Struthio camelus: one gene and its partners. The protein of the gene in region 3 purifies or fractionates together with the protein of the main gene of each other region. This does not show direct contact. Links are inferred from orthologs where the notes say so. Each region holds a gene or a part of one and is shown on either strand. Other genes may lie near its edges.

Region 1 (7,601 bases), on a different chromosome or scaffold from region 3:
GCTAGGCTTAACCTAATAAAACCACCTATCCAAAAGGGTAAGATTAACAGATTAACCAACTCAAGCCATGTCTTTTGCTTCGCAGAAAAGTTAAGTGGGTTTCTAAGCTAGACTCTTCTTTAGGTCCGCAATGAAGTAACAGTAGACACTGGGTTGTACACAACTGTCTTGAAAGCTGCTTCCAAAAGCTTCTGGCTATCTCCCTCCATTTGGCTGAGCTGAACTTCAGCATCTTCTCATCCTGTTCCTAACCTATACAAATCTTTAGCTGTAGAAAGCAGCACCCAGTTGCCTTTTGGCTTGTGCCTAGTCAGATTAGAGATCATCTGCCCAATTTTAATAAAAGGTGAACCTGGGGCTTGCAAAATCTGCCTGGAGAGAATCCTTATAGTTAACTACAACTCAGCTGTGAAGCAACAGACCAACAGCCGGGTAACAGGAAGCCATAAAAACAGTCACTTGAACTAACCTCGTATCCACTCAGCTTTACCGCTGTCAGTACGCTCCACTAATGTAACACCCAGCATTTTCAGATGAACACCACAAGGGCATAATTTACCTAGGACAGATGCAGGATAATGCTAAGCTTGTGTTGGTAGTTTATTGCTCACCTTTAAAAGCCTACTCTCGTTTGATTCAAAAGCAAGGTTGTGCTCCAGGCACCAGCAGCTCCCGTCCAACAGCTGTATCGATTCCAGTCAACCTTTTCACAACTTCTGTGAATAAACATTTCACCAAAACCTCACGTATAAGAAACCAATACTTTTTCTTCAACCAAGAAGAGAGTTCAGGTGCTACCAGGAAACACGGAACGGACCAAACTCATCCTAGGTTATGGCTCCACTGAAAATCACTGGTATTTCCCAGCTGAGTTTGGTATGGTCTGTTTTTCACACAGCTACATATTGACTGAAATTACCCATTCCCCAAAAGGCCATGTGAATCAAGTGGCAAAACCTGCAGAAGAAAATTAAAATCATAAGGTGTAGAGGTGGAAAGAGGTGGGGAACCCCACTTCACAGCTAACTTATCACATAAATGTGTTTTCAGTCATGCAAACCCTCTACTCCATTAGAAAAAGAACATGTTAGCAAAAATATTTCCATCCCTTTCCCAGTCCCAATTTTTGGGCCGAGCCAATGCAAGAATCCTGATTTCTTCCTTCTAATCTTGTATCTTTTTCCTTTGTTGCCACCAAGGCTTCTTACAGGGCCTCTTAAAAAACGACGTTCAGCTATAATACTCTGGGCCTCTAAATAAAAAGAGAGAATGACAACTGGAAAAACCAGTTTTTCCAACTAAGAATACATCCATTTATCTGTATCCAGCCAGAGAATTCTGTCACCCTGTCTGTCAGATCCCCTCAACTCCAAGACTGTCATTTCAGAGAGTAAATCCTAAGCAAATGCAGAAATGAAAGCCACTGGTTTTCCTAGGTGTTGAGGGCTTTTCAGTTGCATAATTTGCATTTATGACTTCAACTTTCTTAGAGGGATAAAGTTTACTGGTTTTTGTCTTAAAGCTTATGCGGTGGGCCAGTCGTGCTCCATTTTAGCATCAGCATACCACAGAAACACATTGACTATAAGGAACAAGCAGAGGCAACAGCGAATGCTTGTGTATCTGGTGTCTTCCAGGGGCTGGGAAACATAAGTTCAAAGTTCGGCTAGGAAAAGAAAAACAAAAAAGATTAAAACATACAACAGATGAAGATGAACTATGGTCACAAGGGAGCGAAGCGAGAGCGCCTGCATTGTTGTGACACTAAACATTTGGCAGTGCTTTGTGTTTACCGCGCAGGAGACACTGGAAGCCCTTGACCGCGGTAAAGGAGTCATAAGAGCAATCCTTGTGCTTGTAAATGGAAAGGAGAGTTTATATTTGAGGCTCAGGCTTATTTCCGTTAACTTAACGGTGAAAGCCCCTCAGAATTCAGTGGCAGAAGCACAAGGTTCTTTAAACGTTTCCTTGTTCTCAAGTTGCATTGTTCCTCCTGAAGCAACGCAGCGCAGGTCATCCCTTCCAAAGGACTGACAAAGCACTTTTCAGAAATCTGTCGTGCAAGCTAACTGAGACCAGAAATTATAAAATTCACATACAATCATGAGCTCAAGAAGGTCTCTCCATTCTTCCTACTGTCCGTAACAGGTCATCCACCCACATCGACCACTGTTAATTGGTGTTAATACTGAGTTGTGAGGCCTGACTCTACAGCTCCTGTTACAGTTTGGGGAGAGCCCCGGCTGGTGCTAGGGTAATACCACAAACATAGAAGAGCCCCAAGAGGAGATTGAGTTTGGCTGTCCGCTGAGGAATTTTGTTGAAGCTCTGACTCCGAAACTGCCTCTCCAGTGAAAATGCCATTGGGATGGTGAGAAGAGGCAAGGCCATGCTGATGGTGTAGCGTGTGGCCAACACACAGAAAATCAGGTAGGGCAAGAAGAGCAGCACGGTGTAGAGAATGTAGGAGAAGGCAGGGCCGATGAGGATAGCCAGGGTGACAATACCCGCCTGTTGGTCAGACTCCATGTCTCGCGTGTTGTTGCTGTGCAGGATGGCCTCGGTACTGAGAGCTAGTGGGATAGCGTAGAGCAGCGGTGAGACAGACAGATAACCAACCTGCACAGCATGGGCAAACATGACAGCCAGGGGCCCAAAGGTGATCAGGATCACCACGTCTCCAAGTGCAACATATTTAAATCCAATTCCTGTGGCAAGACACAAGAATAAAATGAAGTGTCATCAAACGACTCAAACTACAGAGGAGAATGGATTTTTTTTATAACAGATCAGCTGTTCCCACAGAAGCATTGTAAAAAAACAACAGGTACATACCTAAAGCTGACAAACGTTCTCTCTTTTTTTCTTTTCTAAAGGTAATAAAAGAAAAGCAGCTTCTGAATTTCTCCAGCCAAACCACTCGACAAAATTAAGGGCCGGGTTCTAATACCCTTCTTCACACCAAGAAATACCCTATTTCCACAGAAATCAATAGAAATAAGGCACTCTCTACAGTGATCAGACATACTAGATCTGACCCTGAAGAAACAGATAAAACGCTCAGAACAAAACACAAAACTGACAAGGCTCTTTCAAGTAAACTCATGCGACAGTTAAAAGTTTGCTCCTGTTTTCCTAAGCAAAATATTTTATGTTTGTATTTACCCAACCCAGGAAGACATCAAAACATCCTCTTCTATGCAAAAAAAAATTCTCTCCTTAGTAAAAACAAATACAAAAACTATTCTACAGTCCCAGTGAAACTCCTTCTGAAGAATAACAACATATTCCAACACAATGCATAATGTAATTCTACCCATAAAAAAGAATATATGCAGTGAGCTATACAGTCAAGGGACACCAGATACACATCATCCAACGTTTCAGCAAGTTTTGAAAAGCACCTAAAGTCATATATGCAATAATGTCTCAATAGCACTTGCCAGCTGAAGAACTGAGTGCATCTACTCCTATGCCTTCCCAAAACAACCAGTGACAAAGAATACCAGTCTAAGTATCAGTACTCTAGGAAGTGTCACCAAATAGCTGTACAATAGTTAACCAGATCACTTGGAGCTTCCAGAAGCCCTTAGATAAGTCAGTAAACTCTCCCACGTCCGCATCAGAATCACAGGGAATGGGATATAACGCTTACCTCCAGTATAAAGGAAGGAGCTGGAAAGTCCCCCGAAGTAAATCAAGGCCAGGTGCTCCAGCTTGAGTGTAGAGACACAGTAGAGCCCAGCAGCACAGATACAGCCCACAGTGTAAAGGAAGACTCCAAACCGGACTACATCCTGAGGTTCTAAAATCTGGTCCACCAAAGTCCTGTCATCACTCTTCTTGTGATCAATGCCTTTGGAGAAGTCATAGTAAGTATTCACCAGGTTGCCTGCTCCATGCACAGCGAGGACAGTCACAGCGCTTCCCACCAGTAGCCCTGGATCTAGTGCTCCTTGGGCCCGGTACGCCAGGGCGCTGCCGAGCGCCACCGGGGTGAGGGAGGCACTGAAGCTCCAAGGCCTGAGGGCCAGCACGTAGGCTGCACATTTCTGCCTCCAGGAGCCGGGGGGGCCCCTCTCCGGCACAGCCAGCCCGGAGACGAAGTCGCTCCTCTCGCCGCCCCGGGGGCTCTCTGCGCCAATGCTGATCTTCTGCATCAGCTCTCCCGACCCCATGCTCTGCCCGCGGTCCCGGCCACACCGCCTCACAGCAGCAGCACCTGGGAAGGAGAAGGGCCGCGCGTCAGCCTCGCCGCCCGGCCCCGGGGCCCCAACGGCCGCGGGCCCCGCGGAGCAGCGCCACGGCCGCCGCCATGCCGGGCGGGCAGCGCCTGAGGGGCCGCGCGCGCCGCCCTCACCCGCTCTGACAGGGCGCTGCGCGCGCGCCTCAACGGCCGCCGCCGCCGCGCGCCCCAACCGCCGCCGCCGCGCGCGCCCCAACCGCCGCCGCCGCCCCGCGCGCCTGCGCCACAACGGTCGCAACGGCCGCTGCCCCCTGAGCCCCCCCTCCTCCCCTTCCCCGCCGCAGCGGCGCCGCGCTGAGGGTTCCGCCGCAGCGCCGGGCTGGGGAGGAGACGGGGGGAGGCCCACGCAGCTCCTTAACGGCCCGTAAGTACTTCCCGCCCCGGTGTAAACGTTAAACGCCCCGCGTTGTTACGCACGGCTGCTAGTGGTCACTTCGAAGCACATGGGACGACAAACACGCCGGCGCTGCTACACGGTGCCATTACGGTAACGGAGCACGGCTCCGCCGCCGCCGCCGCCGCCGCCTTCCCCCCGCCCCGCTGCCCTTGGCGCTGTCATGCGAAGCCGGACACATTTCAGTGCCGCACACCGGGCGCAGCCCCGCTCCCCTCCCTCCGCATGCGCAGAAAGCGCACACGCTTTACGGAGGGGCGGAAGCCGGTGGGAGTCCGGAGGGCAGGCCTAGCCCGACTTTTCACCAATCGAGCATTCCTGGCCCTCCCATTGGTCACTCCGTACTGTCAGTTACTCCCAGCTGGCTTGATGATTGGTCGAGCCGCCACAGTCGCTCCTAGCGGTTCTCGGGAGAAGGGGCGGGGCCGGGAGGGCGCCTTCCCTTCTCTTTTTCTACTGGCCGAAAGCCGTGCCCGTCAAAGTCTTTCGGCGCGCCTATTGGCGGGCGGCGGCTGGCCGGCCCGGCAGGCGCGGGGGGAGGGGAGGGCGCAGGGGCCCGGAGCGGGGGAGCCGGTGGCGGTTGGGGCGGAGGCGGTGAGTGCGGCTCCCGGAGCCTCCCCGTCCCTCCGGCGGGAATAACCCCCCCCCCTTTCCCCCACCTCGCCGCTCACCGGGCCGGCGCCTCGCGCCCCGTCAGCGGCACCGGCCTCCAGGCCGGCCGCGGCCTCGCCGGCGGGAGACCCCGGCCTGGCCCGCCCCACCCCACCCCACCTCACCTCACCGGCATCCCGGCGGCGGGGCCCCGGCGCCGCCTCGCGGCGCTCCCGCTGCCGCCTCACGGCGCTCCCGCCGCCCGGCTCAGCCCTGGCGGCGGCCTGAGGGGGCCGGGGCCGCCCCGCCGTTTCTGTGACCTCGGTGGGGCTCTGCGGCGGTGCGCGGGGTAGAAGGCGCTCAGGTGTCGCTCCCCGGCCCTGCTGGGTGCAAGCGCGCAGCTTGGGTTTATACAGCCTGAGGATCCAGGGGGGTTCAGGACTTCAGGGGAAAGACAACTTTCCCCAAGGAGAAGTGCTCGTAAGAAAGTTTGGTTGTGCGTTGCGATAGTAAACATCCTGTTGCAGTGATTGCCGTTGCTGACAGTAGACTTCCCCCTTATAAATACGTGCTGGAGGATGTAACGCTTACCAGGCCCAGGGTGCTGAGTCTTGGTTGTGTAGCTAGACCAGCGAGGCTTTTGGGGAGGTCCTTGGGCGAAGGTGTTCATGGAGGAGTCAAATACGGCAGCGACACAATGACAGAGCTACTTATTTTGCCTACTTTTTATAGAGTGATTCTAGAGCTTGGTTCTACCCTAGTATCTTTTCAGCTGTCGCATGCCCTTTAACTTAGGGTTAGATCCCCATAGGATTAGGAATCTGACCTATTGGAGGTATGTTTGGGGAACTAGGGAACGAGGGAGCTGGGTCATGACGTTATGTGATGATGTGGTTTTATCACAGTGTTGTAGGGCCTAGGGAAACTAGTCGTTAGTTATATTTTTTACACTCTTTCAGAACAACTTCCTTTCAAGCTTTGGGATGTGTATTTTGGAGACAGTCAGTAGGGGCAGTGTCAAGGAAGAACTTCAGATGTATGCAATAGCTGAAAGCATTAAAAAGATTTTTCTCTGAAGTACTTACAGGACTTGATGCGCCGAGCCCCAGCACACCGCCATCATGTCAGGCACTGTGTCCATTCTCCAGCAATTTGCCAATGGCTTGAAGAGTCGCAGCGAAGAGACAAGGGCAAAAGCTGCCAAGGACTTGCAACACTATGTCACCATGGAGCTCCGCGAAGTGAGTCCTGCAAATGAGAACGTTTATCACATGGGTGTAATGCATTGGCTGGGTACTTTGGGGGTGGAGATTTTGGAATATGGAAACTGTCTTAGAGAGGAGGTCCAGCAAAGACTGGAGCTTACCTTTGCCCTGGCATGTGGGCAGGGTGCCTGAGTTGGGGACTCCGGTGATGGCCAAGCACTAGAATAAATACAACCTGATAGGTCTAGGGCACAAAGAAGAGCTATACCATTTTGTGTTTGTAATGTATGGTTAACTTAATTTCTTTGTGTTTAAGGGACCTGGAAAGCGTTGTCTTTTTGGGGGTGTCTGTGGTCGTGGAGAATGATGAAAGTTGATTTGAACTTTTTCATTTTGCAGATGAGTCAAGAAGAATCTACCAAATTTTATGATCAGCTGAACCATCACATATTTGAGCTGGTCTCTAGCTCTGATGCAAATGAAAGGAAGGGTGGCATTCTGGCTATAGGTGAGTGAAAGTGCTTAATGCCTTTGGTGAGTTTTCTCTTCACGCAACTACTCTTTAGGGACAGCTTTTCAAAAGGAATGAACTTTTTTGATCGTGGCCTTATGTTTGACCGCTTAGTACGCTGGGTGCGTGCTAGTCACTGGGTTCTCTTGAAAATCTGTCCAAGAGCGTCAGCATGGGAGCTGCTGAGTGCTGAGAGTGGCTGAAAACCTGGTGCTCCGTGGGCGCTGAGCTCTTCTGGGAGCTGAGCATCGAATATGAGCGCCGAGCGCTTGAAAATTCTGATCTTGAGCTCGTCTGAAAACAGAGTTTGTGCTGTCCGCTTATGTGTGTCATGGTGGGCTGACTTTCCGAGCTCCGTTCTGCCTGAGGACATTGATTCCTGTTATTTAAATTCACTTGGCTCAATGACAGCAGCTTCCATCCCTGGGAGGGGCTCACGTAGCTTTTGCTTTTATTCTCATCAGCTGCTCTATCAGTTGCTCTGGTTGTGCTTTCACTGTGATATGGCAGAACTGCCTGCATTGCGACTCCTAGGGAAATCAGCTTGTGTAGCCCGTATTGTAGCATTTGCTTTTTTTAATAGCCAAATAGGAGTTGCCTATGGGTTAGGCTCGCAGACGTAATCGTCCGACCCCAACATATTTGAAGACAGCG
Region 2 (7,636 bases), on a different chromosome or scaffold from region 3:
TAAACATGGAGAACAATCTATACCTTTTCTCTTTGCGGAGACCTTTTATGTTTTTGAAGATAATTATCTCTTTTGCCAAAACTTTTCTTTAAGCTAAACAACCCCAATTCTTTCAGTCTGTCCTATCAGATCCTGTTTTCTAGGTCTCTGATCATTCTTCAAGTTGAGATTGCAATATGTATTACACTAAGAAAAAGGAAAACTGACTACTACACAAAATTTACTGTGAAGCTGGGTGGCAGAGGGCTTGTTAGAAGAGATTACTTTTGTACGATGATTGTCTAATTTTGATCAAATTTTTTTGCCAAAATACATGTCCTTTTTCTGCCTTGTGACAAACTGTGTAGATTCCCAATGTAGGGAGCAGACATTACACTCCTTGGTGATAAAAACTTCTGGATTTGGAGAAAACAGCTATTATGGAAGGTAACTTATGCCAGTAATGGAAAGCATATCCTTGCCAAGTTGTTGTCTTTAGAATAAACTGATACAAGGGATATTTGTGATACTGGGCAAATTTAAGCAGAAGTTTAGGGAGTTTCTAGCAACATGAGCAAACTACTGTATCACAAAGGCAAATCACATTTAAGGCAAATACATTAGTTGCATAATCGCTCTATTGTGCTGCATTCACTCTCTCTTGGAAAATAATACACTTTGTAATATATACTCAGAAATGCCTATGATTCAGCTAAAATATCAACAAAACTGGAAACGATCGTGTATTTTGGAAGATGCTGTGTTATTTATAACCAAATAAATTAACTCAGCCATTCCTACAACCAAATTCACATGTATAATAGAAGAATGTCATTTAGCAGTATTCCCCAAAAGTATGTATCACATTTTTTCCAAAGAAGTTTTAAAAATTATAATGTGCCTTATTTATCAACGTTACCTGGACAATTGGGGCTGTCTCTGAAACTGTGGCTTCCATGGCATGGAAAGATTTCACTCAGAAAGTAACTGGGCTTCTGTATATGAATTGAGAAAACAATTTTTTCCAGAAGAAAGATGAGACGTGACCAGAGAGGGTAAGCGCTGGGAAGATAAGGCCGAGGGAAGAAAAGGAAGTGAAAAAACTTTTTCTTGCTGAAGGCTGAACAGGTCTTTCAAATACTTTTGGTGAGTATGACACATTAAACGTATGCAAAATCATGTCCAATAAAAAAAATGACCATGGGTTATGTAAAATGAAGCTGCCAATGGTTTTTTGAATCGCTGAATCAGGCAGTTTATGATGTCAGTTTTGCAGATAAACTGTTAAGAAGAAAGACTGTTCAGGTCCTCAGTGGGTTTCAGATTTTAAAATCCAGAAGAACTGTAGAGGTTTTTTAGTAGTGTAGTTCATCATCTCTTGATAGATCATAGGAGCCTTAAAAATACAGTGTTATGTAACTTGTCTCCCCTCATATCAAAAAACTCCAAAGTAAAACAAACATTCAATTGCTTGCATCCTTTATAAACATTTTTCCTACATTTCCATTTTGTTTTTAAAAATATATTTCACTTGGAAGATGCTAGCTGCTAAATCGTAACTACAAAGTGGCCAAAACAGACCTGTGTATGACGTTATCATATTGAAACTTACTGGAATATTATTCCTGTATACTGGCAAATTTCAGTAAAAACTTATTTGTGAGCTTCCAAGCCTGCAAGGAACAAGGATCTCCTACAGCATGCACAGCTCTGAAATGGGGGCTTGCTTTGTTGTGGTCTACAGTCATCTGTATGTACCACTCTGTGTGTACAAGGAACATCTCTATGTCTATTTTCACAAAAGCAGCTCCTTTTTTGAAGAGTCTATGTACTTATCTACAGAAAGTAGGTACAGTGAAGCCTGCCAGATCTGTTCAATTTTCTGTCACTTAATGCTGAGAAACAGTGAAAACAGTTCATGTGTTCTCTAGAGAAACTCCCACCAAATGGCTCTTGAGCACTGAAGACAACCAACCTCTGTCTTGAAAAGTTCTTCAGCTGCTCTCTCATTCCCAAGATGCAAAAAAACCATAGTTGGCAAAAGCAGCAGCCTCACAGTCCATTCAGATCACACTATAGCATATATGGTGATATTACAAGGGCAACTTTTCTGTGTTTGTGAGCACAAGAATTTCTACATTCTCAGTCTCTGGGACCGCTGTACAACTTTTGACCCTATGGTGCATAGTTATTATTAACCACCTACCTGAAAAAATAGGAGTAAATGGCCTAGAACAACAAGCAGCCTAAAGCACCCTGACTCTGAAGAAATCAGTAATGACTGGTAACGGCTTTTTCTCTTTCCAAGCTCTCATGATTGCAGAGCCTGCCATGTTGCAAAGCCCAATGTGAAGTGCTCCCTCTTTGGTCTCTGTGAGTCCATCTTAAAAAGTCGATCTTTTCTGGCATTTGACAGTCTTCTAAACTGAGCCTGGATTTAGAGTATCCTGTATGTGCTTATGGGCAAGGGCTTAGCACTTAATGTTTTTTCCTTTTGGTGATCTGACTTAAGGTAAATAAAGGCAGTATCTATACTCTGGCACCCCAGGGTATATCCCAGCTGAGTGCTGACTCCATATTGGGATGAGACCAGAGACCCGTTTCTGTACAGTGGTTTCTGAAGAAAGGGGGTTTTGGCATGCCAGCCAGAAGGGAGATACCACCTGCTCCTACAGGACGTCTATACTGTACGACGGAGAGAGCAGGATTGTAAGGTACACTGAAGCATGTGCCTGGCCCGTGGACTGTGCATAGCTACAGTCACTGTGCAGGCTTAATATACACAGTAGGAATAAAACATCAAGTGACAGTTGAATAAAGAAGTCTTTTTAATTGCCAGTAATCTTGTTCCCAACGTTGCCACTGCACAACTAAAAATATCTGTAACTTAGCTGGAATCTCCCCTTAAGAGTCTCACAAAAGATAGCTCTGACATTGCCGTAACCCTGAAATCATCCCTGGGGGAGGTGGTTGTTCACTGGCTCCTAACTATTGCTTGGCTTCCTAATTGTCCTATTAAACTAAGTCAACGTACTTATATGTTAAACACCCAAATGACCGAGTCACGTACAGTAGTCATTATTATACAGCACCCCATTGCCCAGCCTTTCCACCATGAGTAACTCGCAATTTGTGCACCATTTTTATTCTCAGTTTCTTAGCCAAACTGAAAACGTGCTTGAACCCCACAGATGCCAGTCATGACTATGCTATGGCTGTCGATCCTCTATTGAAGGTGTTTAGGTTATTCATTGCAGAGCAGCAATGCAGAACTCCTTAACAGCAGTACAAGGAAATCCTCAAGGGAGAAGCTACCTGGATGATCAGCCACAAGTCTGCTCCCCGTTCTTCACGCACCTAAATCCCCGCAGGACCCCTCGAACGTTTCAGTAAAGGCTGCAGGGCCAAACGGATCAGCGTGGCTGGTGGATGCTTGGACCTAGGATGGAAACTACAGCGCAAATCAGGATCAAAGTAGATCAGCAGCGAACGCTTGGGCATTTAAAAAACTGGCCACGCTACACCGTATTATATAGAGACTGCACTTTCTAAATAGCCTCATCTGCACCCAACTTGCTTAACTGAAAAAAAGAAAAGTAACAAAAATGGATTTTTAAACGTATGTCGAGGTCTGAATTTGAAAGCCAGTGAGCAATTTTGAGGAACTATCCTAGAGGACAAAGTTGGAAAGAACACCTACAGGATGAAAAATGGATGAAAACTCTTTCCCTCGTCTTGGTGTTTACACGCATGCTACTGTATTAACACGGTGGAAGTGCAGGCATTTACTTTGTTGAAATCCGCATTTGCATCAGAAAGTGAATAAAACACATTTTTATAAATAATAATAATAAAAAAGAAAGCTAAGTATGTGGTTTGTTTTGGTCTCTGTCCATGTATAAAACGCCCGAAAGGCCATCTCCAAAGGCACGCAAGGGAAAGCGGGAAGGTCGCCGGCCTCTTCCCCACCTCCTGCCACGCGTGTCGCCCGCGCAGCCCGCGGGAGCGGGGAAGGAGCCGCTCCGCAGCCCGCCCCGCGGAGGCCGCCTCGGCAAAAAAATAAAAAAAATAAAAAAAAAAAAGAGGAAAAAAGGGGAGGGGGCAGCAGCGCGGGGGCGGGCGGCGAGGTGGGTTCAACCCCCGGCGGCAGCGGGGCAGCCCGCAATGGCCGAAAACAACCCCCGCCCCCCGAAGCGCTGCCGGGCGGGGCGGGGCGGGGCGGCGCCCACCATTTTGGGGGTCGCGGTGAAGCCGCCTCCAGGCAGGGGCGGCCGGGACGGAGCCCCCCCCCCAGCCCCGCTCCTCGCCCCGGGCCTCGGCGGCGGCTGCTAACCTGGCGCGGGCGGGGAGGAGTGAGGGGAGGAGCCAGGGCGGCCTGTGCGACAAAGCCCCGTGCGCAGAGCGCTGCTGACCAGGAAGCAGATCCGCGCCTGAGCCGCCGCCGCTGCTGCCGCCGCCGGTCCGGGGCGGGCCGGCCCCACCTGAGCCCCGCTGCTGCCCCCGCGGGCGGCTGACGAGCGCTGTGTCCCCTCCTCCCTCCCTCCCGCCCCCTTCCCCGGCTCGGGGCGGCCGCCGGAGCGGGCCGAGGCGAGCGGGAGGCGGCGGGCGGGCGGCCGCGCCGCTAAGCCGCTGAGGGTCGGGGCGGGTATGAGCCTCCCCGGCGGGGCGGCTGCCGCTGCGGGCTGCGCGCTGCGGCGCGGAGGCTGAGGCAGAGGCAGCGCGGCCGCCGGGGGCCGGCGCTCCGTCCCCGCGGAGGAGGAGAAGCCCCGCTCCGCCGCGGGCGGGGGGAAGATGGGGAACTGCCTCAAGTCCCCCACGTCGGATGACATCTCGCTGCTGCACGAGTCGCAGTCGGACAGAGCCAGCTACGGCGATGGGACCGAGCCGGATCAGGAGCCGCCGCCGCCATATCAGGTGTGTGGTGGGGGGGGGGAAGGGGCCGCGGGCAGCAGGGCCCCGGGGCCGGGCGGCGGGCTGAGCCCAGGTGAGCGGCGCCCCCCCCCCCCCCGCCGCCCCCCATTTTCCTTCTGTGAGGAGCCAACTTCGCGCCCGTCCCCGTCCTGCGCTTGGCAACTACCTGAGCCTCCTCCCTTCCTCGTAATGTGCCCCCTTGGGGGAAGTTTCTTTGTTTCCTTCCGCCTCGCGAATTTTAGCCTTTCAGCCAATGAGATTATTTTATTATTATTTTTTAAGGGGGGGGGGGAGAGGCGCCGTGCGGGGGCGACTTAAACTGGTCGAGGAAGGCGCAAGCCCGTAGGTGAGGAGAACAAAGCAAGGCCCCTGGCAGGATGAAAGCCAGAGGAAGGGGCTGACTCTTCCCCCGGCACAGCCCTGGGCCCAGGGGCTGTGGCGGTGGTCCCCAAATCTCAGCTAGAAAGGGGAGACGCTGATTTTTCTCCCCCCCCAGCCTGTGCAGCCTCCTTTGTTGTCCTCGCGCGGTGACATCACTGTCTGGTGTTGCTCTTTTCTCATTACTCTCTTAAACGAGAGACCACACACGCTTGCACCCAAGCTGGTCTCTGTCGGGTTATGTTTATTCTAGCCTATACTTCCCTCCCTTATTTTTAGCGGTAACTGAGCCTCAGTAAGTAACTTTTTTAATGTGCTAGATCCTATTTCCTTCGGTTGTGTGGGATACCAGAAAGGAAACGTTTTCCCATTTTTTTTTGTTTTTGTTTTTTCTGCCTCCCAGAGCATGATTAGTCCTGATTAGGACTAATCAGGAAGGTTAAAGAAATTTTGGGGATGTTTTCTCTATAATTTTATTCGCAGCAGAGGATGGCATCGATGTAGAATTGCGAGGCCGTTGATATCAAAAAGCTTGGGTTTTGTTTTTTCTTTTTTGACCTCCGTTCGGTGGTGACCGCAGAAAGAAGGAAGCTGAACTTGTGGTTGCACTTGTCCACTCCTTGTCATCTCCATCCCCATATATAGAAACGTATAGTGCTCTAAACAAGCCATCTAAAGTACATGACTGTACAGCAAGAAAAAACAGCATAAGAAATAAAAATTTCAGTAGCATAACTGCACATTTTATTCAAGTTTCAGAAATACTGTACTGTCTGAGAGAATAAAATGTGTTCCGGAGAAATCTATAAAAATGACAGATTGACACACAAATCCTGAAGGGTGCCTTGAGAGCTCTTTATTTTCTAGGATGGGAGTCATTCAGGAGTTGCAGAACTGGCATATAATTATCAGAATTGCAGGAAGTATTTAACTGGGTAGACTTGTAATCTACAAATGCTTGTACAAGTTCAAGAATTACAGCCCTGATAGGAATTTTCTTCAGCATTTAAGAGAAGCTGTGTATGTAGCAGTCATTGATGATGCAGTGAAACAACAGTGGTGTTACTTGGCAGTCTGTAGCTGTTTGGTTTGTATGAGTGCAAAAAAATTAATATTAGAATAAATTTTCTCACGTGGGAGTTTTTCCTGACTTATGTCTGTTTAACTCCAATGAATAGAGAGTATTTTGTGTCAGGTGAACTCTTTTAAAGGACATGTTATTCTAAGCTAAGTTTAAGTCATCCATTCTGCTTAGGAATGCATCGTATTGTTGTTAAATAAATGTATGAAGCTTGGCTGTCTGTGCTGTTTGTTGCGTATACATCTGTGCTCTCTAAGAAGACTTGTGGAGGGTGTTTGGGGGTTTTGATTGTTTTTCCTTTTTCTGTTTTGTTTTTTTGGCCTTGGAAACAACCTGTAGGAGCCACAAATAAAGTATACGTGCTCTGTAGGCCTTCTCAGGTTGGTTTCAGTGGTGGATAAGTAGTCTTCCTCAGCCTCTAGGACTTTTTTTTTTTAATTAAAAACTTCTTGGAAATAATTGATGATGATTGACTGATTAAAATAAATGAACTTAGAGATGTCTGTTATTGAGTAAGTGCATTCATATTAAAATCCCCCGTTCTTGAATAAAGCGGTGTAGCATTAGGTGATGCGCACATAAGAGTTTGGCAGTCTTGAGTGGCGTTGGCTGCCCTGAAACCCTGCATGTGATCTTCACAATCCCTGAATCTTAGGGTTAGGGAGAACAAACTCCGTCCGCCTTAGTGCAGGATTTTGTGTGAATTTCCTGCCTCGTATAGTCAAAATTCAAAGCTACGCTTTCCGCAGTTGTTGAGCCACCATGGCTAGTGATAAGAAGTCAACATTGTCTGCAGTACTGTACGGTATTTCATGCCCTTTGAGGTCAAGGGAAATATGTTACGTTTAAGGGATAACTTTGAATGGTTTTAGGTAGGCCAAACTCTAAAGTTGAAGAAGTCTCTATGTTCCGTTACGAAAGCAATAGGTAACTATGCTATTTTAACTTTCGGGTGACAACTTGAATTCCACTGTTACAAATGGGTGGATTATCCTTATGTGTGATAATTACTTCTTTCAGTGTTTTAACCAGAATTAGAATATATGAGAGAATATATAAGCCTGAGGAAGGAAAGCAAGGAAAAAGATAAAAAGAGTTTGAAAACTTGCTTGTGGCAACTAGCAGCCTGAACAAGAATACTAGTAGTTTGAAATCTAGCTCCTGAAATTCAGCCATAAAATGGACATATTTTAGAAGTCAATGAAACGTGTTATGTTTGCTTCTTTGGGTTTGCAGCAACGATGTGCCAGCTTTCTGAATTGATGCTGGAAGGTGTGCAAACTGAGG
Region 3 (7,507 bases):
AACAGCTAATCCCAATCATTTACTTTGATCATTTACTCAGATATTGAAGCGAATTTATTCATAATGAACCAAGGAAATTGTATCACTGTTAAAAAAGGAGTCTGCATCAAAGTAAGGATAGAAGAAGAAAGATCAAGGGAATGGAAAATTATCTTGGAGTCTTGACTAATTGATAATGGCATAGTGCAACCCCCTATGAACCTGCTGAATTTTCAGCATGTTTCAACCTTTTGTTTTGATGACATGCCAGACCAAAAAAAGAAAAAAAAAGGCAGACAATGACCATTTCAGATTTCCACACAGCCCATACATTCTGAAAAGCGATGTTTGGTACAGTACAAAAAGAGACAGCCTGAATAACTACTTGCCATGCTAGTATCTGCCTCATACTTATGGTGGCTGAAGAGGGCAAATGAGGAATTTCCAACAGAGTAAACACTGAAGGCCAGATTTATGCTACTCCTCTCAGGGCTCCTTATGTTATGTGAACAGTAGAACTATAGCACAGAGGTGCTTGTGAAGCGTGTGGGGTTGCAAACTGTAGTCCCACTATTACTCAGCAGTAAGTCAACATAGCTGAAAAAGCATTTCCACTTGGCTCAAAAACCCCAATATTTTTCCGCAGTGGGACCAGTAATGTCTGCCAGCCAGCATCCTTTTCTTCAGTACCTCTGGCCCCACTGGCTACAGCAGGAAGAACAAAAAAAAAAAAAAAACAAACTTCAAACTATCTATGCCCTCTGAAATACTTGTTCAGGGCACACCAACGTTGCGGCTAGCTAGAGCCAAATATAGGAACCACGTCCCTCAAGACTCCTGCGCAGAACAGTAACACTACTAACAATGTATTTTCACATGGAGAGACCCTCCACACTACCCGATACATTACTACTCCATTTAAAAAAAAAAAAAAGCAAAATTTATTTTAAGAAAAATAAATGCATGCATATTTAAAATTTAGAAATCAGTTGGTTGTATTAGGAGAGCCTACCATTACGATTATGAATCGCATACAAATATACAGGGGACAAACATCAAGTCAGCTAGTCTTGATACATATCATGATAAGTTGAGGGAGACCAGAAACTACTGAAAACTGGGTAGTGCAACTATTAGGAAGTTATCTGGTGGAGATGGGAGTCTGGAGGGCCAGAAGGAATAAGATGGATGATAACCTGCCAGACGGACTGGGAAGGTGCTCCCAAGCCCATGGAGGCCAAAGCACCCTCTTGCACAGGAGACAAGCATGTCCCTCCGCACAGGGAACTAATGTCCCTCTTCTCTTCACCCACATCACCACCACTGACAAAATCCACTTTCAGCTGGAGCCCTGGAAAGGACTTTGCCAGGATAAGAGGAGACCTCATACTTCTCCTGTCCAGAGCTGTCTTGTATATCCTCCTCCAGAGCCAACTGATCTAGAGAGTCAATGAGCATCCTGTAAAGCCCTAAATAGAGGAAGGTGAGGCATGAGATGCTGCAAAGGCAATACAGTTCACTGTGCTCAACCAATGGGCAATGTAATTCACACAAAATTTCCTCTGCTCATGTAAAGGGCAGTGCTCACAGCCTTCACAGCTGGGAACACATGGAAAAGTTTTCCTCTAGTTAATGAAGACTGCATATTCTAAACACACCCCCTAGGAATACACAGCCTTGAAATGGAATAAACTCATTTTCTCATCCATTCTCCGCCCCAAACAATATAGTTTTGCATGTTACTGATGCATTCCTGTACGTAATTGTATGAATGGTTTAAGAAATGAAATATAAACAACCTCTTATTAATCTATTTAATAACCACAGCTGTATTTTGCACAGACCAGAATGCTGAATTCCTTAATTACACAAGTAGAGCCATTGAGTCAGTGGGATTTTTTTTACATGAATAAAGACTAATCACATGATTAAGCACCACTGGCATGGACCTTTGAAATGGTTATTTCCAACATTAAGTAACAAAAAGTACTAAGTTTACAGAAGCATTCACTGAAACTATACTATTCAATAGCATATTCTACAGGTATATTTTCCCCTCCACACATGTAAAGTACTGTCTGTGCCATTTACAGTAGTAAATGAACAACCACTGTTTTATAAGACGGTATGATAAAACAAACAGAACTCAGTAGACACCTAAGCTAATAAGACTCAAAGAACAGAAGAATCAGCTACAATTATATGACTTTACACTGTACTAGACTTTACTACATACTACATTACTTAATTACTTTAACATGTAATTATTATGAATTCTCTGAAAAAAGCAGTAAGCAGAGATTAAACAGCTATCGTATGCAGCATCTTTTCCCAAGGTATAATGCACAGGATGCTGCACTTGGGAAAAGACAAAGTGCGTTGTGAGCTCTGCCAGTGGCTTGCATAAGGTACTTTAATTCTCTGTTTTCTAGCTGAAAAATGATGATAATAAAGTATTTTTGGTAAAACGCTAAGATAATATGCAACTCTCGAATAAACATGCTTAATACATATTAACCAGATGGTCTTTGGCTTCCACTAATTTCTATGCCCAGGTGCTTCGTACAGAATTAAGCATATTATCAGCATTTAGCAGACAATAAAACAAGACTAGAATTTCAGAATGTTTTATGAGCCACAAGATTATTTTGTATAATTAATTATACAACATACTGGTCTGCTGGAAGCATGCATACATACGATGCAAATGACTGCATTACTACCAGATTTAAATGAGAAGAGCTTAAAGTGGAAAAGTCTTCTGGCAGCGGCAAGCACCAAAAGCGGACCTAACAAAACCACCGCAAGCTGAGAGAAGCCGACCTTAGCCCCACCGACCGGCAGGATCTCCGAGTGAGTCGGCAACACCGCTAGTCAACAGAGGGCACAATTTCACTGCCTGGCGAAAAGATTTCTAGCAAAAACTCTAGAAAACCCAACACAGCCGCTCCCGGCGCGTTAACCGCCTGGCTGCCGGGCGGCGGAGCGCACGCACGCCGCGGCCGGGCCCGCGCCCCCGCCACTCGCGCTCAGCTTTTCCACGCCGAAGCCCCGTTCACTCGTGCATTTCCCCCCGCCGCCTCAGCCCGGCAGCCCGGGCCGCCGGCGCTGGCGCAGGGAGCGCAGCGGCTGTTACCTCTCGGCGGGCGGGATCCTGCGGCGGCGGCGGCGCGGCGGGCTTCGGGCTGCGGGCTCCGCTCCTAAGTCCTGCTCGGCAGCCGGCTGGCGCGGCCGAGCGCGGGGGCCATGAACCCCGCGGAGCCTGCGCTGCCGCTGCTGCTGCTGCTGCCGCCGCCGCTGCTGCTGCTGCCGCCGCCGCCGCTGCTGCTGCTGCCGCCGCTGCTGCTGCTGCCGCTGCTGCCGCCGCCGCCGCTGCTGCCGCCGCCGCTGCTGCCGCCGCTGCTGCTGCTGCTGCTGCTGCCGCTGCCGCTGCCGGGCTGGCAGCGGCCCCGGGGTCACTCGTGGCGTCGGGCCGGGCTTCCCTCGGCCGCCCCCTCCCCGCCGGAGCTGCTGCCGCCACTGCCTCCGCTCCAGAATGAAAGGCTGCGCCGAGCCTCTTGTTTTTTCCCTTTCTGTTTTAGTGCCCAAGCAAAAACCCCCACCGGGGATTTCCACCTTCAGCGCTTGGGACTTTCCGACATGTGACAACCGCAGCGCCGGCAGCGGCAGCAGCCGCCGCCGCCTGCGCCGCGCCGCCGCCAGGGGGCGCCCTGGGGCCCCGCCGCGCCGCGCCGCGCCGCGCCGCGCCGCGCCGCGCCGCCCGACCTGCCGCGCCGCCCTGCGCCGCCCGGCCCGGCCCGGCCCAGCCCGGGCTGCCGTTGCTTTCCTGCCTTCTGCCCGCTCCCGCCTCGCAGCGCAGCCGGGGGCACATAAAGAAGCCGGGGGTTGTAGGTGCCCTGCCGGGACTGGATCCTGGCGGTCACATCCCAGTGAGATGGGAAAGGAGCCCGTCCCGTCCGAAGCTCTTGTTCTTCTTGACTGTTTCCAAACTCAGACCAGTGTTCTTGTCTTAGGTTACATCTGCTCCATAGTTTTGGCTTTGTGTTGTAAGTAACCACAAGTGACTTCGTTTTTTTTTTTTTTAAATTAAAGGTTAGGCTCTGTTATATAATCATATAACTGCATAGGCTGGTATTTTAGGCAGGAAGTGCTAATATACTTTAATCCAGTCCTGCTCAAGGGAAAGCCATTGGAGGAAAGGGACAGGACTTCTGACTCAAGTTGCCAAGAGAGGGGCATCTTAGTGTCTGAACAGGTCTGAACGTGAGACTGTGTAAACTCTTGGCTACACCTAGCAATCTATAAGAATCATTAAAGATCATGGTTACAATCAATTCATACCTTAACATCTTGAAATCTTTGCAATGGAAAAATTCACTTCATGATACCTAAAGCTATAACCTGTAATTGTAACTTAAGATCTTGTGACTGTAGATATTACTTATGAATGTGATTTATGCTGGGAAAAAAGCAGGTCCTTGCCCACTGGCTTGCAACCTGAAGGCACACAGAAATGAAATGTAGTGCAACAGAGTTTCTTGCAGTCTTAAAAAACTTTATCCTTGTAGATGCTGATCTCCTGCCAGTTCCTGAGCATCCTCTACTCCCACTGACTTGATGAGAAGCTAGGGTTGCGCTGCACCTCGGAGACAGGCCTTAAATCTTGACACCTTCACAAAGCAGGTGTATCGTGGAAGATTTCGGACCTGAGCTCCCTTACCTTGCTCCCATTAGCACCAGCTGGCTCAGCTCATGCCTCTGTGTCACATGCTGTGGTTATATGACAGCATGCTCTTCCGCAGCACTGAAAGTGGTCTTGTGTCTAGCTCAGTGTACTGTGCTGTCCTTTCTTCTCTGCCTGTGTTGAAAAAGAAGTCAGGGACATGCTTGAAAAAAGAATAATCTCTTCCAATTTTTAATTTGTTTTCTAACAAAACCTCCTCTCCTTGCATACCTTTCTTTTAGAGGGTTTATTTTGATTATTTTTTTTCAATGCAGCTCTTTTTTAGCCTTCTCCGCTGCCTTGCAAAGAAGTAGTTAGCTAGGAACTATCCACACTCAAGGATTGGTAGTCTGAGAAATGACTGCGGTGCAGAGAGGCTGCGTGCCTGTGGGAACTGGGCCTGAATGATTACTTGCATAACTAGGGCAGCAGTTGGGGTGTGGTTTACCCAGTGTATAATCTGTTTTCTTCAGCAGACAAGCCACTTTAAAAAAGTCCTGCTATTCCCTGCTTCTGGACATTTTTCCCTGCCCTCTCATTTGTGCTGAGGTACCGGATTACTGAAGCGCTCTGATTACAAAACAGCTTTTTTTTAATTTTTTTTTTTATTTTTTTCTTTTTTTAATACCCAAACCATTTGTCTGGTGTGGTTTGAAGTATGCCCCCTTGGCTAGTTTTACAGGAGTTGTCTAAAGGGATGGTGAGTGTAACTCTGATGTGGCAATGAAGACCTCTGGTAGGAAATAGGGGAAAACTGACTGATTTATACCCTGCTTTATACGTGAAACTACAGCAAATGGATTTGCAGGTGATTCTAGTCCCTTCTGGTTTGGGCTCACAAGAAGAAGAAAAGGAAAATAAGTACGAGTAAGGAGACTATTTAATAGGTCCACAGGTAATAGCTCTGAACCTATGAGGGAAGCGTTGAGTCCCAGGAAAACCTGAAAAGGCAGCAGCTTATTTTTGTTATTCTAAACTCTGAGCATATCTGAATATTCGTAATTACTATTTACACCTTGATAAACTGAAAATTGATTGCGCATGGCAAGGGATGATGTTTAGTGTACAGATCTGAGCAGGATGGCAGGAATTCATTTGATCTGAGTTTGCACATCACAAAATGAAGTTCTATCTTGTCAAATGGATCTCCTAGGCAATATAGTAATACATTAAAAACATCAACAACATCAATAATTATAGAATGAATATAATATTTATAGAATAAATATACATTCCTCTTTTTAGATATACTCCTATTTCTTGTAATTATACCCCATAGTTTATCCCACTATTTATGATACAATGTTTATATTTGGCAGAATATGAACATACATGCATACGCATATATAAGGGCAAGGAAAATTTTCCTTTTTGAAGTGTGTACACACACATGCACACACACACACGCACACACACACACACACATATATATGTACATGTATATATTATATGTAATGATTCCATTTAGTTAATTGTGCTTTGGGAGGAAGAATGAATCTCCCAAGACCTTGTTCAGCTCTATTTCTCTAAATTATTTTAATAGGTTTTTTCTTCTTTTTACTGTTCAGCAAGGAGGAGTTCATGCTCACTAAATTAAACCAAGACCTCAGTGTGTTCAGAAGATTGCCACCAAGTACTTTAGAGATTGCTTTACGAAGAACTCATTTTCAAGACAATACTTCTATAACATTCTATCATAGGATGATTATTATGATAATGTTTATGGATAGTAATATTCAGGCTTTAATAACTCAGTCATTAGCCAGATCTTTTTGGATCAGATAATTCTGTAAGAGGTATGATTCATCTAGAAGGGAGGAAAAGGGTCATAAAAGGGAAATCCCTTCTATTGCAATAGCAGTGCTTGAGGTCACGCTCAAGTTCAGCGCTTCTGTCTTCCAGAAGCCCTTTCGTTACTCCTTTTCCTGGCGGTGGCAAAGTGATGAGAAGAACTTGTTGGTGTATAGGAAAAAGAGGGAGGAAAATCCCTTAAACCTCAATCAGACAGAAAACTGGTGCTTACTACAGAATCAAATAGTGATGGCAAAAAAATACCAAGACTCATCTCTGCAAGAGCTGAACTGTTTTTGTGAATTTTCCGTTATGCTCATCTGAATACAGTAAGAAAAACTCCATATTTCCAAGGAGACTTCTGCTGAGATATTGTGGCAAGGGACTGTACTCAAAGTAGGCATCCTTATTCATGCCACTGGTCCAAGCCTCACTCTTTTCTTGTTCTTCTCTTCTTTCTAATGTCCATTTTGCAAACATCAGGAAGTAAAGGGCCGGAACTGCAGTAGGGTCCAAAGATGAAAGCTCAAATATTGCCTTAGCCACCTTTGTTGAGATTTAGGTTAAACGTTAAAAATAACATTCCCACATTAAGGCTGGTGAAACACTGCAATAAATGACCTGTGGAGGCAAACACTGGACATCTTTAAGAACAGGTTATCTTATTGGCTGGTTTTGCCTTGGAGCATGGGGGTAATGGGCCCATGAGATGAAATCTCAGAGTGCCTTTTCAGCACAATTTTATGACATTCTCTGAAATTCTGTGTGAAAAGGTTGCAATGGCAAGGATAATAACTTTCCAACTTGATTTTTAGCTGTCATTCATTCCTGTGTTATCTGTACCAAATGGATCAAGCCTGTAGGCCTCTGAGAACTGCGGAAACAGATAGCTACATGTGTGTATGTTCGAGATAGGAGCAAGACCCAGCGTTACTTACCCTCTGCAATGTATAGATAGGATTCTAATAAGCCCCCAACAAGAAATAAGCAGAAGACCGAAAATATTTTAACTTG
Region 4 (7,810 bases), on a different chromosome or scaffold from region 3:
GATCTCCTAAACCGGGGGCATTTTGTTTCAACGCCCTCTCTGGGCTTCGAGATTCCCTGCAGGAGATGTTACAGACCACAGACATAACAACTATTTTAATCAAAATTCTTCAGTAGCTGAACTTTTCACCGATTTGAGAGTGAACCCTTATACAGGCAGTGGGAACCAGTGGGAAAACATGTATTTCAGCAGCCAGTGCCATGGGAGAAAGCAGGCAGCATCCACAACACAAGCAGGCTCCTCACACATGCCAGGAATCCATCCTGCCAGTGGGTGATGAACGACAGGTCACGAAAGACCTTTTCAGTGGAGAGAATGACAAACTCACCAGGGAAGGCGGGCACAAACAGCTCTCAGGGATTAAACTGAACAAATACGTAACAAGATGCAAATGACAGGGCAGGGATTCACATCACCCAGTAACACTGTTTCTGCCTTTGCAGACAGTGATCCTCCCCAACTCTTCTCTCCTTTTCAAACAGCATCACTTTGATCTTGTCTGATTTCAGCTTAAGCCTGTAGGTCTTCAACTCACTGGCCTCACTTTCCTACCAACTTTCTGACTCCACTTTCTAGTGATGATACTTCTGCTGGCTGCAAACAAACACAGACTTGAGTGCCAGCATTGTTTTACTATAGCATTTGGCCTGCCCGCCAGGAGTCAAAGAAAACAGAAGACAGGTGAATAACTGTAGCTGAGGACCTTTGCAGAGGAGAGGAAATGGCTGCTCACTATTCTCCAAGCTCTGCTATCAGAAAAGGTAGAGAAAGAGGAAAAACAGAGCCCGAAAACTGTAGAGCCAAACAGTCCTAGGGGGCTTGCCTCAGTCCTACAGGGAGGGCCACAAGTATGTGCAAAGACTTATCAGCCAATCTCCCATAGGAGTCTGTGAATCATACTTTGCTCAAGACCACAGAATTGAGAGTGCGTTTTCTCCCTGATCACTGCACGAGCCACAGTGGGCATACAAATTCCTAGTATGGCTGCTTCCTGCAACGGCTTGCAACTATGATTCTTTTCGTAACTTATTCTTGATGGAATATTTCAATATGCATGAGGCAAAGGGGACGAAAACAGATCGTGTCAGTGCCAGAGTTCAAGGCCTGTAAGAACCAAAGCTCCTAATTCTCGTTGCTGTGCCTGGACATGGACAGAACAGCCGAATCCAACAGTGTGTCCAAGAACAGACTACAGGCATTCTTCTCTGCCACCAGTCCTTGTCTGTATGGCCACAATCACTTTCTTTTCTCATTATCCTCCCAATACATTAGCTCCTAACACATTTCCCCCTTCTTCCACCCCCACCTCACTTTCCTTGACCTTTCTCTGGTCTTAGAAAAACACTGCAATACAGTCAGTAGCACAAACCAATGTTAAAAAAAACTGATAAGGAAAACACTTAAGTTTTCATTGCAAGTATGCCTTTTGTACAAGCTAGAGATGCCTTCTGAGACATTAATGAAATTAACTGCAAATATTAACCTGGGTGCTTTCAGAGATAAGCCCTTTTACTTCTTTGCTCATTTGGACTTGCTTGATTTGCTTACCTGTTCATAGTAACTCATAAGCCTGACTATGAGGCAACAGTTCATTGGTACAAGAGAACTACTGCTTTAGAGGATTTTCACTGGCTTTTTTCTCTTTTAGTGGCTCTTCATGAGCAGGCAATAACACTGGCTGTGGAGATGAGTGGTCACAGCTTAATAGGTAGAACAAAACACCATGCAAGGCTGATGATGGGGGAAGTAATATGAAGAAAAAGAAATACTGCAGATGCACAAGTTCACCAATGACATTTTCTCAATCTTAGCCGTCATCTTCTAGTAAGTTTCTCCCAGAGGATGCAGTTACCCTGTTTAAGCTTCATTTCTGTACCATAAAACATTCACAAATCTAACTACTAACTTCATAGCAGGGCCTCATTTATGAAAACACTATAAGAAGGTAAATAAATTGATGCTAGATGTTTCATTAAATGGTTTACCAAATGTCAACCACAAAACTGCACCGTAACTAACAACACTTTCAGCAAATATTTGCCACAAACACCACACTCATTTACATAGTGGTTGTAACTTCTATTTACTATGTATGAAACCTGTATGAACAAAGCTGTAATTCTAGGAATGGACATTCTCCCTTTTACTTGGGAGGTGAAAAAGATTAAGCGGAGCAAAATGCAACTGCCGACACGTTGCCTGGAATTAAGGGGGGGGAAAAAAAAAGTCTCACACCAAGAACACAAGCATGATCGAGTGAAGAACCCCTGTATTATAGCTTAGACGTGATCTCCGAGAAATTTAATCTAAAACAAGCAGAAGTTAGGAAATGTCTCAGATCCATCCTTTACCTTGTTGTAAAGCTCAAAAAGGATGCAGCCTTTAGAATCCCACACAGCTCCCCTAAGCCACTACTCATTGCTGAAAGATGCAAGAAAAAAAATGAGCTTTACTCGCAGCAGCTGATACAACCATGAAAGTCCTGAATTTTAGCTCACTCTTCTCTACCATTTCTCCATTTGCTAAAGAAGGGATATCAATCTGCCACCTCCCAGGGTGACTGCCATAGAACACTTCAATGAGAGCAAAGATAACTTTTCCAGAAGAAGCAAGGTGTTTGTCATGCTGAACATGCCTCAGTCAACTCATCCGAGAAATACCACAGTGACAAGGGTGACAGAGAAACCAGGCGTATTTATTACAAAAAGCCCATGGCACCTAGAGTCAGTTGCCAGGAGGGGAAGCCATCTCAGAACTGTGGTTCTAAAGGAGTGAGACCTTCCTTCCACATGTCTGACAGTTATTCAATACAGACTGCCCTTAAGCGCGCCAAGAAAAAAAAAAACAAACCACAATCAGAACCCATATTATCAAAAAAAACTTACAAATCTCAGTGCTTTTTAACTGAGTTAATTAATAACAGGAAGCAAATAAAACTTTGGAGGGAAAGAATCAGAGAAGTGCAGACTTGTATCATGATTGTTGTCATCACCACCTCTTTTTGGTCCTTCTTGGCAGAGACATTATTTTTTGTGAAGAATACAGCTTCCAGATAGCCCATGATTCACTGCTGATGTATCTGTTAAAACCTTACTTGGACTCCCTGGGAAGCGATCCTTGCACTCTGCATCTAATTGCTGTTTTCTTCAGATTTCAAGGATGTATTCTCTTAACAACACAGACTGAAAATAGTATTTCCACTGACATTTCCAACAACGCTTAAGAATCATACTGCTCGGAAATGCTTCCTCACTCGAAACAAGGACTGAACAGACTACACTGCTTCTGCAGGACAGGAAAGCAGGTCCGTACTTCTCCCCTGCTCTACTAGGCTGCTACAAACTCAGGTGCCAGGAGACTGAATAAGCATGGGAATCAGAAAATTGAGGCCACGCGGCCCCTTGCAGGATTGTGAACTAACTACATAGATGCAGATAATTCCTCTTGCAAATTCTCTTGAATTCCATGAGGAGACGCCTTCCAGAGTGATTCCTAATTGACCGTGTCCTTATTTTTCTAATTTTCAGTTGACTGGGACTGTGGAATTTGGAAGATCAACTGCTTCCTTAGGGTTGATGATATCTTTGGCATCTGCTTCCATCCATTTAGTACTGCTCTTCCCACTTCCTTGTTCACTTCTGTCAGGATGGTTACCAGGTCCTTGCGCCTTGAACAAACATGAAGAAAAGGTACATTGAAATACATGGTACTTTCAACTAGGCCAAGAAGTTGACCTATGTTTACTCCAATAACATGAGATCTTGGGGAATGTTGGTATCTTCCCGTCATCCTGTCTGTCACTGAAATTGCGCGCTCTGTTGTGTAATCACAGCATTCAGTATGTACTGGGGAATAAAGTAACCTCTGTGTAGAATCACTTTACAAACAAACACACTCCTTTACCTTGGTTATGGTCAAAAGACAGCACTAAGATGACACAGAAGCAAATTTATGCATTTTCCAAGCCGTCCGCTGGACTTCACGAGAAAGCGGTGCCTGGAGAGAAATGTTATTTTCTAAATCAAGTTTAGGGTTGGGAGGTGGACATGGGCGAGGAAACAGGGAAAAGTACGAATAAAGGGTACTAATTTTTTGCCTGTGTACTCAAGCAACAAATTTGCCTGTCATCAGGTGTCACTGGAAGAAAGATCCCTTGTCATTTTAAAGATACATTAAAACAACATGTTCACACTTGTTTTTATGTATTAAACACTTGTTTACACACTTGTTTTACATGCTTTTTATGTTTTACACACTTGATGATGTGTGTTCAAATATATAAACACAAACTTGCTTATATGTAATGTTCCAACATTACAATTCTGGTTCCGTAACAGACAAACTAGGTAAGTCACTTGAACTTTGCTTCATCTGTAGAAGAAAAATAACAGTGCCCACTTCCGGAATAATTACTAAGCAGACACTGCTCTGCAGGTGAAAAGCATTATATAGAGCAAATGCAAAACAGCCATGTTTCAGCACAGCATGCTTAAGTATGTATTTCAACAATACCCCAGTTGTACCTGGGTTAAAAACAGTACTTACAGTGGGCAAAGCAACTCCATTTTGTCACAGAGGCACTGAATGTAAATACTGCCTGTCTTTGCGTGGCGGTAGCACTCAAAGTCTTCCACAGTAGCCATGCCAACCAGAATATCAGCCTGGTCGGGAATGGAAACCAGAGGAACAGCGTCTGTCTCAAGATGGTCAGAAAAGTCTTCTTTTAATGTGACAGCTGGATGACCTACAGACCCTTGGCAAGCCTGGATGAAAAACAGCTTGGGTTTTCCAGCAAGAGAAGGACAGTTAGATCCACTAAAGCAAGAGAGCAAATCTTTAATATTTACAAACTCCCCATCAACGCCTTTTATTTTGTCTTTTTCACCATGTGAAAGGACGAAGCAAACAAAACAGTCCATTTTGCTATGATCTTTCTTGCTGTATTCTTTAACTTTTGCATACATTTGGTTTGCTTCTAGATCCATGTACTCAACTGTCTCAAATTGAAGCCACTTAAAGACTCTCTTCAGCGCCTCTGTAAAAAGAAAGTTGGAAGGCACTTGTTAAACATGAACAGTGATAAGGAAGATGAGGAAACTGAAGGCTCTGTGTGGTAGGATAGATACTGGCAGAAGCATTCAGATCCCACCAATAAACTCACCTGACTGACACTCAGCCTGCCAAGTTTTAAGAAAAATCAGGGATGCCTAATTTTTTTTTTTTTTTTTAAACACAACAGAGGTGAACATCACACTGTCTAAAACAAAAGTGGATTTCAGATTATCTGATTAATCAGTACAATTTAGTGAAGCTTAGTGTGTTATGCAATGTGTTTAACCGTACGCTGCATAGCAATCTCAGATGCTTAAGAACAGCCCTTAGTTAGATAAAGAAGAAGTATTTCTTTAGCATGATAAATTCTGCCACTCTTAAATGATGTAGGTTCCTTATTATGTGAGAATGATCAGTGCAGAGAAAAGGAAAGGCCACTAACAAAGACAAGGTACCATGCAGACTTCTCAGCAACCGCTGACTTGGTGTTGTGTTGGCAGAGAGAAAACAGCTGGGAAACAAGAAGGCTGCAGACAGGTTAAGGTTAAAATGTTAGTGATGTATGCTTTTATAAGACAGATTTTAGTTTATCCAGATAAACAAATGACTCTCGCAGGAAGAAAGACTTAAGGAAAATGATAAAGCAATAGAATTGCATTTATTTGAGCACTGCTGCAAATAAATGCAATGCTGACTAGATCAGAATGCTTTCTCAGCTGATAGCATGGCAAAGCTACACCTTTCACTCAGTAAATTAAGCAAAGAAATCATTAAAGAGAATTTAAGGACTTAAAAAGTGTTACTTTATGATAGTTAAGAAGTAAAAAAAAAAAAAAAATCAAAACCTGAGAAGACGGAATAGTAATCCCTCCTTCACTATTTGATATATACACAAACAATTAAGATGATACTCTTTTTTTTCAACCTTCCTTGAGCCATCACCAAAATTGTTGGAAGTGGCATATTTCCAATTTTTGCAGTGACTGTCACTCTAGTTACTTATTCTGGAAGCAAAGGAGCTTAGTCAAAGTGGCCGTTCTTCACAGGAAAGATTAGGCAATTCTTTCGGAGGGTAACACAAAAAACCAAACCAATAGTTGGATTTTAAAAAGTACTTACCTCCATCTTTCACTGTTCCTTTCCTCATGCCTTCAGGATTTTTAAAAATGTAGTTGTTAAGAATCACACAGTAACCATGGGGGTTATTTTCCATCCTATATGATTCCACAAGCTGTAGAAACACAGAAAGTAGGTAAGAAAGCAGTGCCAAACATCCAAGGGATGTATGCTCTGCAGAGATCTTTGCTCTTCCGTGCCCAAACACGAAAAAATCATGAGGGCCAAGATACAAAAAAGGAAAAGCCCAGACATACGAACCAGCCCTGGGTACAGGGGAAAAAATGCTGCTTCCTTTTCCTGAAATCCCTTCTCTCAATCTGTGGCTGCAATTTGATTTTGGAATGGAAAGTGGATATCCTGAAACATGTGCAGAGGAAAGGTTCCTGCACCATACCATTTCCTCTCAGAATCTTGCTGAGTTTCTCGTTAGGCAACTGATGCTGCGGGTCCCTTCCCATCTGTTCAGCTTGAGCTGGAAGAGGATGGGATACTCTTACTTTTGCCCATCCCAGTCTCTGTCATCTTTAAGATTGTTTTTCTTCCTATGACAGCTACTCTTTCATTTCTTGTCTACAAGGTTGCAGGCAGCCAGGTCCTCACCAAGGGACAAGGCCTGGTCTTCTTTTGAAAATGAAAATCCTTCCAAAGCCTATATATGAAGCCAAGTCCTCTCCCTTTTACCCCTTCTCCCTTCAGTTTTAGGGATCTGTGCTCCCACGAGCTGGATGAACACTTCAAAGGCACTCTTGAGGCATTTCTCACCAGGCGTGCTTGTGTTCCCTCCTCTGCTCCTTGTCCTGCCGGATTCACAGACATGCATGTTGGATAGCAGAGCTTTTCCTCAGAAACATTCCCTAAGAGGAGGATAAACAGGACACCTTAGGAATAAAAGAATAAGTCTTCCACTTAGCATATTTCAACACCAAAAGAACAATGCAAGGAGTGAGGCAAGGGGTGGTTTTCACACCATTATTTTGCAGAGATTGTGTCAAGGAAGGTTCCATTTTTGCAAACTGCTGGAGAGTGAAACTGCGCAGAGCGTTCCTTGGAACAAAACATACATTTGTGTTAGACTGCTACATCCCATTGCAAATACTGCCAAAATTACAGCCATTAGGTAAAAATGAACTTCCAGCCCCCAGGCACAGCCAGATGCTTGAGACTGGAAGACAGTGTGCGCTGCATTCCCACAATAATCGTATCGCATTCCAGTCCTTCCCTGCCCTTCGGCTGGCAGCAAGATCCAGGAAATCTAAGTCGGGATACGAGCACTCACCCCAGGCAGGCCATTCACTGGCATCCGCACTACAGGATACAGAAGTGAAAAAGACGACCTATTTTTGTACAGTGATACAGCTCAGTGATACACTCAGCTCATTCACTTCTGAGGCCGTCACCTCGTCTCCAATGCATTTTAATTGCTTGGGTGGACAAACCAATGAGGCAGAACATCAACATAATGGAAGACTTCCTCAAAACAACAAAATGCTGCCTTGAATACAACTGCCTGAAACAAGTGAATAAACTCTCACACCCAAGACTACACTCAAGGAGATAAATCACAATACCCCTTTTACAAGTCAGTTATATAGATGAGTTTAAATGAAATTTGGTTGTAAAGGCCGTAAGTGCTCTTTTC

What was found. Proteins that work in one complex are often made in the same cells at the same time.
Region 1: the proteins of TNFAIP3 (region 3) and MTOR purify together in Homo sapiens (affinity purification with western blotting, with the first as the bait; 3 studies listed by BioGRID). This does not show direct contact. The link is inferred for Struthio camelus from reciprocal best matches to the Homo sapiens genes TNFAIP3 and MTOR.
Region 2: the proteins of TNFAIP3 (region 3) and RNF11 purify together in Homo sapiens (affinity purification with western blotting; 3 studies listed by BioGRID and IntAct, with this or other methods). This does not show direct contact. The link is inferred for Struthio camelus from reciprocal best matches to the Homo sapiens genes TNFAIP3 and RNF11.
Region 4: the proteins of TNFAIP3 (region 3) and CASP8 purify together in Homo sapiens (affinity purification with western blotting; 3 studies listed by BioGRID and IntAct, with this or other methods). This does not show direct contact. The link is inferred for Struthio camelus from reciprocal best matches to the Homo sapiens genes TNFAIP3 and CASP8.

Annotation. Positions count from the first base shown.
Region 1 is NC_090962.1:6,555,663-6,563,263, reverse strand, and holds the start of MTOR (serine/threonine-protein kinase mTOR), read left to right. Parts: upstream 1-4,590; 5' UTR 4,591-4,610; intron 4,611-4,663; coding exon of another isoform or gene 4,664-4,691; exon of another isoform or gene 4,692-4,880; intron 4,881-5,120; exon of another isoform or gene 5,121-5,234; intron 5,235-6,309; 5' UTR 6,310-6,352; coding exon 6,353-6,472; intron 6,473-6,835; coding exon 6,836-6,944; intron 6,945-7,601. Other genes in the region: UBIAD1 (ubiA prenyltransferase domain-containing protein 1), read right to left, coding at 2,221-2,708, 3,656-4,222, 4,664-4,691. UniProt on the Homo sapiens protein: Serine/threonine protein kinase which is a central regulator of cellular metabolism, growth and survival in response to hormones, growth factors, nutrients, energy and stress signals.
Region 2 is NC_090949.1:31,029,988-31,037,623, forward strand, and holds the start of RNF11 (RING finger protein 11), read left to right. Parts: upstream 1-4,625; 5' UTR 4,626-4,770; coding exon 4,771-4,893; intron 4,894-7,636. UniProt on the Homo sapiens protein: Essential component of a ubiquitin-editing protein complex, comprising also TNFAIP3, ITCH and TAX1BP1, that ensures the transient nature of inflammatory signaling pathways. Promotes the association of TNFAIP3 to RIPK1 after TNF stimulation.
Region 3 is NC_090944.1:74,591,479-74,598,985, reverse strand, and holds the start of TNFAIP3 (tumor necrosis factor alpha-induced protein 3), read right to left. Parts: upstream 3,015-7,507; 5' UTR 1-3,014. UniProt on the Homo sapiens protein: Ubiquitin-editing enzyme that contains both ubiquitin ligase and deubiquitinase activities.
Region 4 is NC_090947.1:10,353,578-10,361,387, forward strand, and holds the start of CASP8 (caspase-8), read right to left. Parts: upstream 3,012-7,810; 5' UTR 2,886-3,011; exon of another isoform or gene 2,675-2,885; intron 2,544-2,674; exon of another isoform or gene 1-2,543. Other genes in the region: caspase-8-like, read right to left, coding at 3,517-3,667, 4,546-5,035, 6,172-6,283, 6,934-7,025. UniProt on the Homo sapiens protein: Thiol protease that plays a key role in programmed cell death by acting as a molecular switch for apoptosis, necroptosis and pyroptosis, and is required to prevent tissue damage during embryonic development and adulthood.